2 linked regions of the Caenorhabditis elegans genome follow. The protein of the gene in region 2 interacts with the protein of the main gene of each other region in a pairwise test. Each region holds a gene or a part of one and is shown on either strand. Other genes may lie near its edges. The genes, in order: npp-5 and mdf-1.

What was found.
Region 1: the proteins of mdf-1 (region 2) and npp-5 interact in a two-hybrid assay, tested with the Caenorhabditis elegans proteins (one study listed by BioGRID).

What each region holds. Positions count from the first base shown.
Region 1 is NC_003280.10:11,596,160-11,601,714, forward strand, and holds npp-5 (Nuclear pore complex protein 5), read right to left. Parts: upstream 3,651-5,555; 5' UTR 3,647-3,650; coding exon 3,541-3,646; intron 3,485-3,540; coding exon 3,372-3,484; intron 3,324-3,371; coding exon 3,117-3,323; intron 3,065-3,116; coding exon 2,041-3,064; intron 1,995-2,040; coding exon 1,546-1,994; intron 1,365-1,545; coding exon 1,119-1,364; intron 1,063-1,118; coding exon 766-1,062; 3' UTR 608-765; downstream 1-607. UniProt on the Caenorhabditis elegans protein: Involved in kinetochore assembly and chromosome segregation during embryonic mitosis.
Region 2 is NC_003283.11:9,541,256-9,546,223, forward strand, and holds mdf-1 (uncharacterized protein), read right to left. Parts: upstream 2,972-4,968; 5' UTR 2,970-2,971; coding exon 2,765-2,969; intron 2,715-2,764; coding exon 2,154-2,714; intron 2,099-2,153; coding exon 1,830-2,098; intron 1,781-1,829; coding exon 906-1,780; intron 820-905; coding exon 690-819; 3' UTR 527-689; downstream 1-526. Other genes in the region: C50F4.16 (Uridine diphosphate glucose pyrophosphatase NUDT14), read right to left, coding at 1-107, 156-351; his-35 (Histone H2A), read right to left, coding at 3,513-3,746, 3,879-4,028; his-41 (putative histone H2B 3), read left to right, coding at 4,324-4,458, 4,673-4,909.

The sequences.
Region 1 (5,555 bases), on a different chromosome or scaffold from region 2:
TGCCCCACCGTTGCAGATATAAAATATTTGAAGGGAAAATGTTAGATTTGAGATCAAAGCACAAGCGACACGTCCAGCATTGAGAACAGTAAATTTGCATGAGAATATAGAAAAATTTTCTGCGAAAAAGCTGACGTTAAATATACGTTGCGTAGCGGTGAGAATGCAGATAAGGGGTCAACGAACAAAACAATAAGGAGAACACATCGAAAATCAAAAGATAATGAAGAGAACGACTCGCCTTTATAGACATTTTGCCGCCATTTGTTTTAATGAACTCTGCTCTTTCTTTTTTCGAGAACGATCGAAAGATCATCAAAACACAGTGTGTAGTTTGATGCCGCGGGTCTCGCAACGCTCCGGTTGAGACAGGTGTGCGCCTTTAAGTATACGGTAGGTGAGAATCCTCACTGAGGATATTTTCAGGCATGGAAATTTTCAAATTAAATGAAGAAAATATCTAAATCAAAATTTAAACCATCAACCTCTGCACAGAAAATTTTTCCTTTCCAAATATACATGGTAGTCTTGCGTCAGATCGGTAATATAGATCTTCCGCAATCTGATGACCTCTTCTTGAAGAAGATCTTCACGTGAAACCCACAGAAATCAGAAAAATTTGTTATTTTCAAATACTGCACGGATACAATCGTGTCTGTGAAAGATCGACCGGAAATTTAAAAAAAATGAGAAAGAAGTCAGAAATATAGTGATAAAAAATGGTAATCAAAACAGGTATCAAACAAAAAAACAATGAAATAAAAATTATTCGACTTTGAGATTGAGTTCTGCGTAGAAAGCTTTGATGAAAACCATCCATTCCTGATCGAGCCCGAGGTCATTATTGAAGCTTGTGAAGAAATCGTTGAAATTTGTGGTATCGTCGAGTCTCACGGCGGCTTGTGCAAGAAGGATGAAGAATTGCGGGAGGAAGAGATTCCGAATCTCCTGAATTTCTTTCCGGTGTACACGCATTGGATCTCCATTAGCACGTGGGCTCAAAAAGTACTCCGGGCGCACACCAATATTGTTAACCAGCCCACGGAGCATCGGAAGAACAGTCTGAAATTTCAATTTTTTAAAATTTTTTTCACAACAATTTATTCTAAAAATCCTACATCTAAATGTTGTTGAACCATTCCAACTCGCGTATTATGCTCGGCGGCTCTCTTTTTGAGCACCTCTTCCCGCAGAGTTTGCTCAGCACGAGCTCGGACTCTCAGTGAAGCTTCCCAGTCAGCAGCTGTGGTGTTGTCGAGTCGTTTGACTCCTCCGATCATGGAAAGCTCATCATCAGTGATCGGTGTGTACTTGAACATGAGCCCAAGTTTCAGAGCAATAGTGATCATGAAGTTGTTCACATCCTGAAAATTCGGATTTTAAAATGGCCAATATGAAATTGAATATTATTCAGCAGCGAAATTTTGAGTACGGGGTCTCGACACGACAAATTTTTGTTCAATACGAGACGGTTTGCACCTTTAAAGATTACTGTAATTTTAACCAGTGGTTAAAGATTCCGCTGATTTGGATAAGAAATCATACCACGAAAGAGCAGAGCCCATAAAATTCCAGAGCCGCGTGTTCGATTTTATTAATTGCCAGCTGCGATCCAGGTTTTTGCTCAAACAGGGTTCCATCAGTGATCAGTGAAAGTACAGTTGCTTCATTTTCAACAGCTTGTGACAATAGCTTAGGAACTTCGAAATGAAGCGCTTTTCGAATAATTTGCCTAATTACAGACTCGTCAATCGGTGTCGACAGCATCACTTTACGAACTAGTCGATTACATTCTTCAAGAGCAGCCAGTGCAGTCTCTTCTCCACCTATCAAAAGCCAATGCCAGTGATCAATCTGCTCTTCCAAAGTTACAACCTTCGTTTTGTCATCTTTTCTGATTTGCTCAATAAGTGTGCACGCACAGCGTCCGAAATCAATGTCAGATTGTTTCAGCGACTCAGCCAGGATTTCACGTTCTTCATCAGAATCGACAGCTGAAAAGAGAATTTTTTTAAAAATCATCATCAGTTTTTAAATTACCTTTCATAGTCTCCACAATCTCTGGAAGCTTCATATCTTCTGGGAGGAATCTTGAATAAAATGCAGCCATTTTCTTGTGTGATGAGGTTCCACTGCGTGCACGAAGATCATCGAATCCAAGAATAATTACAGCATTTCCATCGTCATTTGGTTCGAAACCACTCGCATAAGAAACTGCGACGAGGTGGAAGAAGATGTCGAGTGCGAGCATGTTCACTTGACAATTTTTATCATTTGGAACAAATTCTCCGACTGTTTCATTTGCGAACTTGTACAGATCTTCAATGTCATCATTGAGCATGTCATCGATCACTCGGAGTAGGATGTATACTTCTTTGGTACGATCAGCCTCTGATCTCAGCTCATCTAAGATTGATTTTGAAGTTAGTGGAACGTTGAACAACGTCGAAATAGTTTCCTGTGTCATGGCTCCCTCGGCGGCAAGAATTCTTGCGAGAACTGCAGAATTTGCATATGCCCATACTTTTTCAATCACTGACTTTCCAGCTTTTAGCATTGGTTGGATATTCCCACGAATCGCAGAAATCAGCATCCAGTAAGCATCATCTTCGCTCCCCTGCGATTGTTCTATCAATTTCTGTGTCATCTGGTAGTACTTTGCGCGTCGAGATCTTTTATATTCCCCAAAGTTCTGTTTAGATGCCTCTAGTGGAATATCAAGTGGGTTCCGGAGCATCGAGTGAAGCTGAAGTTGAGCTCCGATCGCTCCCATTCCTAGATCAATGGCTAAATTCGCAGCTTTGGAAGTTTCTCCACTTCGAATTAATTGGAAGAAAACGTTCATCGCCATTTGCTCGAGAGCTTGATCTTCTTTGGTACCAGGAGCATCTGGATCCAGTGAAGCATCTTTTGGAGCATTGGCTGCTCCAAATGTTGGTCGTTTCAAAGCCATCATTGAATTGATTCTAGAAGATTTGATTCCTTCGAGTTTCCGAACTTTGTCTCCAAGACCTTTTTCATATTGCTGTTCGCTGATCGCTTTCTCACTCCAAAGAAGAAGAGCCTAAAAAATTAGAAATTATGTGTTTAATTGAATAAAAAGTCTAAGATCTTACATAAATCCTTCTAAACTCCACATCTTCTACAACTAGTTTGCTAAGCAAAGAAACTTCCACAGTCTCATCATATTCATGAGCCAACGCGGTATAAATTGAAAGAACACTGGCGATTTGCACGGCTTCATTCGCGTATTTTTGTGAACTGGCGGAATAATTAGATCCTGCAGGAAGTTTTCGAGTCTGCATTTCTACTTCTGAATAGATCTGAAAAAATATTACATTTATCAGAGGCCTTTTTCAAGTGAATCAAACCTCATGAAGTCTGGTCCACATAAGTGGCGAGATTTGCCCTTGAGGAATATCGAACTCTCCGAAAGCCAATGCACATAATTCGTGGTACAGTTTTTCTGAGAGATTTGTGTGAACTGCAAATTATATATTTTTAAAATAGTTTTCCTTTCGCATCGAGTGTTAAACTCACAAATTGTAGTGTATTTGAAAGCGGTTTCATTTTTGCGCGCGATTTCATCGTTAGAGTCGTCGAAGGAGTTGGAAGAATTGTCCCCCGAAGCGAACAAGTCTGTCATTGTGCTAAAAATATTTTTTTAAAGGAAAATAAAGTTTTAAAAACTACATGAAACAGAAAAAAAAATCGTTTTACACGACGAAAACCCTTCGAAATTTGAAAATTTTTGCTTAAACGAAAATAATGGTAGTGCGCTCCATTGAGAACACAATGCGCGGACTTTCAAAAAAGAGGGGTTTATTCAGGTTTTCATAACTTTTTTGAAACACAGAAATGGAAGAAATTGCAATTTGAAACTTTTCCGAGTAGTGCCTTTCATCTTCAAATTGTTTAATAAGGTGCAATCAGCTATAAAAAACAAAAATGAGAGCCGACGTTATGGGTTGATGAGAGCTCTTATTTTAAAGCACATCGTATTTTTGCGTTCCAGTAGCAGCTATCCTCTAAATCATCTGTTTTGTGTGCATTGTGACTGTCTATAAATCGATCAATACGTGCTCCTACGCTTGCGTTTGCTACTTACATAAGGATATATTCTTTGAACCACATGTTTTGTGTGAATTGAGACTGTGTATAAGAATGTAAGGAGGAGAGGGGCCGTTCGTATCGTTCGTCTTATGCACAGGCTCAATGCACACAAAACAGGGTATATTGTATACTCAAATTAGAGAAAAACATATGGAGAGGACAATAGACCAAAGTTTTGATTTAATAACTAGAATGGAACCATTTCTGGAGCACTATTTCGTACGAAAAGCTTGCGGCTTTGTGCAATCAATCTCCTAGGACTTTGGCGGCCTGTCCATTTTTGTTATGTTCGAACAATTGAAAAAGTTATTTTTTTAAAAATTCAGGAGAATTCTATAAATTATTTAAAAAGTTATATTCAATATGTTGGACTGCTTTCTGTTTCTAGGGAAGAAACCTACACCTCCTCCTCTAAAAAGTCCTTATAAGGGGACTATAGACCAAAAAAAAGATTCCTTGTAAAAAAATGTTTGCCCTTTTTTGGTACTTCCTTCCTTGGGCTTCTCAAGTGTAATCCATCACATCAATTACACCAACCGACAAGAAAACCAAAAAAAAAAAACGAAAAGATGCTAGTTTTGCATGGGAGCCGTAGTGCACCTCTTCTTTTTCGTCTCTCTTTGTTTCTGCCTCTCCACTCCTTCACCCACTATTTCCAGCTCACCGAGCCATATTTAGTAGCTTCATATCTTTAGTTTATCAATCATATTTGTTAAAATTAATTTCGAGTATTTTCATCGCTAAATACCTGCTTTTCAAAATCGTCGCCACCTATTCCCAAAATCGATCACCGGATTTTTTTCTGCCGACTTCAGTTAAAAGACAACACAAAATGCAATGGTAAAAGGTGAGTTTGGAACAAGTTCTGCAAAAAAAACGAGAGAGAAGACCCCCGAAACTTGATAGTGTGGGAGAGGAGGAGCATAAGAAAGAAGAAAAAAAAGATGTATTGAATTTCGAACATCATGTTGAATTACAACAAAAAATACGCAGATATTTTCAACTTTTTGCGTTTATTAAAAAATTAATGCATATTTTCAAAATGTTTAAAGCCGCTGATAAACGTTCAGATTTAAATTAATGAAAATTTTTACAAATTTCTAATAGTATGCCAATTAAAAATCAATTAGTTTTAGGCTTTCCATTGAAAGTAAACTTTACAGAAAAATCTCAATTTGTACCATTTGGCTTTACATATATTTTTTCAGAGAACTATTGTTCCAGACGCGAACTTTTGAGCCAAAATTAAGGTATCTGGTCTCGACACGACAAATTTCTGAAAGTTAGTAAAGTGGTGTGCGCGTTTAAATAGTACACTGTAATTAATGTAATTTCAAACTGTCGCTGCTGTAGAATTTTCATCGATGTTTTATATGTATGTGTTTCTATTATTTTATTTCAATTTTTTTAAAAATAAATTTATTTTAAATTTGGTATCGAAC
Region 2 (4,968 bases):
AAGTTCAATGGTGTAGCCAGTTTCAGAATCATAGCTGCTCCAGTCAATTTTATCAAATTCTTTACCGTGATTCTCCGGCGAATTTGAAATTGATGCGGTGAAGATTGCTAAAAAACAACTTAACGCTCACATTTCAATAGAATAAAATTGGAAACCTGGTCGAAATTGACGAACTAGAAGAAATTGCTCTAAATCTCTATGAAATAGAAGAATGGATACACTGCTCATTTTTTGATTGAATTCACTAACACGTGAATTTCCATCCAATGTGTAAGACATCTCCATTCCTTTCTGATATTTTGATACAAAATCAGTCACAAAAGAGACATCACTAATTTTTGACGCTGTCATCTGAAAATATATTTTCTTATATCATTTAATTGCGGTATCATTCAAACTCGTTTTAGAAAAATACAGGATGTTCAAAAACCAATTTTCCTATTTTCATAATGGTATTTCTCCTATATACGAGCAGATAAACTTTAGATTGTACGAAACAATATACCATAGTAAACATTGAATTGGAAAGAAAATATAACGTTCATTGTGTGATTAATTTTGATCACTACACGTTTTAGATTAAAAAATAAATAAATAAAATGGAATGAAACATCAAATATTCAGGTAACAGTGTATTTAACAGCTTCTCCTTTGAAGAAAAATAATTGAGATCTAGATAGCTCAATGATTTAGTCCTCGTGTAAGACACTGAATGTATGTGTTCTCTCATGCATCGTCTCGTCAAAATCTCGATCCTGTTCCAGCTGAAGAGTCATTGCTGCTAAGAAAGCCGGAATCGAATTTCGGTCGCCAATGTACCTGAAAAAACATATTTTAAGAAGATGCCTCACAACAACGGGGAGTATTTATACTTCTAATAGTAAGTAACCAGAAAATTAACAAACTTTTTCATAAGTGGCTCCCACTTTCGAAGCATTTCAGTAGTTGATTCACAGCTGACATCAAGCATATCGATGCGAGGAGTTCCATAGAAATACTTAAACACGAACTGCTGAGCGGAACCACCTTCATATTCGCTTTGTACAGTGCATATTCCTTCGTCTGCATCTTTCAGTTTGATTTGGAGACCGGTCAGAGCAATACAAACTTGCCGGAACTTCGACGAGAGTTCCTTATGAAGATTGTAACTACTTTCGAGTACTTTTTTCTCACTTTCGCAGTCGTAAAGACGCTTCTCCAATTCAGCAAACTCTTGCTCTCTCCATTGATCACCAGCTGGAGCATCTGTCAACTTTCTTTTCCTACTTTCAGACGCTTGGAATTCATTGTGAGCATCTTGGAGTGGATTAGAAGCCATATGGAAAATCTGTGTACTATTTCCGGCATCGGTTGGAGCAGGTAAAGATGCCGGTTCTGAAGCTGGGACAGTTAAAGTCATGCTGAGAACTTCATCGAGCTGAGATTGAGATTCTTCCAACTGTTTCTTGACCTTCTCCAATTCATTGTTGCTCAACTCTAACTGTTCAGAGAGCCGGCTTTTCTCATTTTCAAGGTCTTGGCTTCTGACTCTCTCGCTCGAAAAAGCATCCTCAAGTCGTTCGTTGCGACGAGCACAGTCTGTGCTTTCTCGCATAACTTTCGTCATTCTGGAAGTAGCTGCTTCAAAATCTTTTTCGAGCTGATTGTTCTTCGTAATGAGCTGAGTGATTCTGTCAATGAGCTGCAGTTGCTTAGCGGAATTGTCTGAACTCGAAGGAATTTTCTCGTCTATATTGAACAAGTTCCCTGCTTGGCCAATCCGAATAGCTTCAATCTCACTCTAAAATAAATTAAACGTGAAATTAGTTTAACAATAATTATTCACTCACAAATGTGCTGTCCAACTGCTTATGGAGAGCTTTCTTCTCAAACTCTAAAGTACGATTACGTTCTTCGAAAATCATCGACCTTTCAGCACGCCCACTCGAGACATTCAAACGATCTTTGAGAACACTGTTTTCCAGTAGTAATCGCTGAATTTTCTCATCTTTCTCGTAATCAATAAGTGATCGATTGGCAATGCAGCCATCAGTCATCATTGTTTGATCTTCTGGCATTATGGTGTTATTTGAATCCTCGAGAAGTGTGAAATTGGATTCTGAAAATACGAATATATTTGCCTGCAAACAAAAGTTTGAAAATTCCGGACTTACGAGGTAGAGTAAAGTTAGCAGCCGATTGATCAGCACGAGCGATTTCTCTTTCCGTTTCAGGAGATGGTGGTCTACGGGTAGCAAATGAAACACCTTCATATTCTAGCAGACTTCCTGAACCAAGTTCTTCTACTGTTTCATCATCATAATCGAATTGTTCAAGAGCCCTGTACATCTGTCTTGGAACTGCATTCAATCGTGTAACTTCTTCGTCGTTTTCAAACTTTCCGTCGTTGTCTATGTACAATTTCACAGATTCCAGCTGAGTATTCGCCATTGAGTACCAAGTGTAGTATTTTTTGCCGAATGCTGTCCAAATATCAACGTTTCGATTACACTCTGCGATGGTGTCATCTCGTTCTTGCTTCAGAAGTTCGACTTGCTCTTGCAGCTCCAACATTTTCTCACGATTCGTCTCCAGATCAATGGTTTTTTCAGCCAACTTCGCTTGATTCGTTTGCATCATTTGTTTCATACGTTCGTGATCTTCACGGAGTGTTACCAATTGACGCTGTGCCGACTCTTTTTCTTTTTTTGCACTTGCCAATTCGATTGGAGCCACTAAATAAAATATTTTAAACATTTTTAATAAATGGATTAAGTTAATTTACCAGGTGAGAGTGTCATATCGAAATTGATTTTTCTGGCCTCCACCGGCGCATGTCGACGAAATGTTGCCTGCTTCAGCTTTTTTTCTGTCTCTGCTTTCAACGGAAACTCTCTTTTGAACTGTTTTTTGATTTCTTCAGCGAACAACATTGTAGCTTCCGACTCTTCATATTCGTCTTCATCGACAATGTCTTCATCGTAATTCATGTCTGAAAAAAATCAGTTACATAATGTATTACAGTGAGCGATTCGAATTTTGAGATAGAGATTAATAATATGTTTAATGCAATCAAGGGAAGTCAAACAAATCCATTCGCACAAAAACAGTTTATCGAATGTCACCAAACAAACTGCGAAGAAATCTTAAAAATAACGTCTTCCCGCCCACTTGCAAGGGCGCGGCATTATGCAATGCTGCCGCACACTTTTCCCAGCAATTCTTCAGCCTCATTTTTTATTATTATTTGGTCATTCGGAAACATGTTCGGACACAAGAACATGCAAAAATAGGAAAATATGATCTTGCGAATAGTTTTTTTTTCAAAAATCCGAATTTTGGGAAGTTTCTTACCTGGAAAAATTGTATTTAAAACAAATTCTTATTTTCATTTTAAAAAATAATTTACTGATAACTGCAAAGTATATGAATTTATTTCATTTACAATTCAGCCGAGTAAACAATACATTCAGATGACATATAAATTAACGGGGCGGAGTATCTTTAGTTGCAATATTCATCTGTGACACTGCTTATTCTTTGTCTCCTGCAGTCTTCTTTGGGAGAAGCACGGCTTGGATGTTTGGAAGAACTCCTCCTTGGGCGATGGTGACTCCAGCCAACAGTTTGTTCAATTCCTCGTCATTACGGACAGCGAGTTGGAGATGTCTTGGTGCAATACGGGTTTTCTTGTTGTCACGGGCAGCGTTTCCAGCCAACTCGAGAACTTCGGCGGCGAGGTACTCCAGAACTGCTGCGAGGTACACCTGGAACATTATGTTTTTAAAAAGTACAAGAGCAAAAGTGATATAATTTGGAAAATGCTAGCAAGTTCAGGTTTGAACGATTTTTTAATCTAGGAAATGCACAAAACACAGCAGCTCTAAAATTCTACATACCGGTGCTCCTGCTCCAACACGTTGTGCGTAGTTTCCTTTACGGAGAATACGATGAAGACGACCAACTGGGAATTGAAGTCCAGCTCTCGACGAACGGGACTTGGCCTTTCCACCGGTCTTAGCTTTTCCTCCCTTTCCACGTCCGGACATCTTTGCTGAAATTAGGTTGAATAACAATGAACTAGAAGTCTAGATGAGCAAATTGGAGGTGAAAGAGAAACAGAAAAGTGGTCTAAGCCGACGAAAATCGATGCAAAATACGCATGCGCACACGCGCCCGCCTCTCTATTTAACTATTTCTCTCGGTGTGGGCGGAGTCTAGTTCCGCGGCAGCGAGAGGTGGGGCCACCGCTGGCGAGTATAAAAGCGCTTCGCAGCGCTCATAGACAACACTCGCCAAACACATCGATTCGTTTCGCATTTTCGTTTCGTGTCTCATTCGATCATGGCCCCACCAAAACCATCAGCTAAAGGAGCCAAAAAGGCTGCTAAGACCGTCAGCAAGCCAAAAGACGGAAAGAAAAGAAAGCATGCTCGTAAGGAATCCTACTCGGTCTACATCTACCGTGTTTTAAAGCAGGTGAGAATATATTCAAATCGAATAAGTTATGATAAAAAAATGTTTTAGCCATTAGCATGTTGTATGTTAAAACTACGTACCACTTAGTACGAACTGCAACGATATAATACCGGTATTTAAAAATCATTTAAATTAGTCTTGGGGGATCATAGAAATCAAAATAATATTAAGTAGTTATTCTGTCAAATCAAAAATATTATTAAATAATTTGCAGGTTCACCCAGACACCGGTGTGTCATCCAAGGCTATGTCGATCATGAATTCGTTTGTCAACGATGTCTTCGAGAGAATTGCTTCGGAAGCATCTCGTCTGGCCCACTACAACAAGAGATCCACCATCTCTTCTCGCGAAATCCAAACCGCTGTCCGTCTCATTCTTCCTGGAGAACTTGCAAAGCATGCTGTTTCAGAAGGAACCAAGGCTGTCACCAAGTACACTTCCAGTAAATAATTTATTAATGATTACGATCTCCCATTAACACTCCTATTCCCCAATGTATTTATTCATAT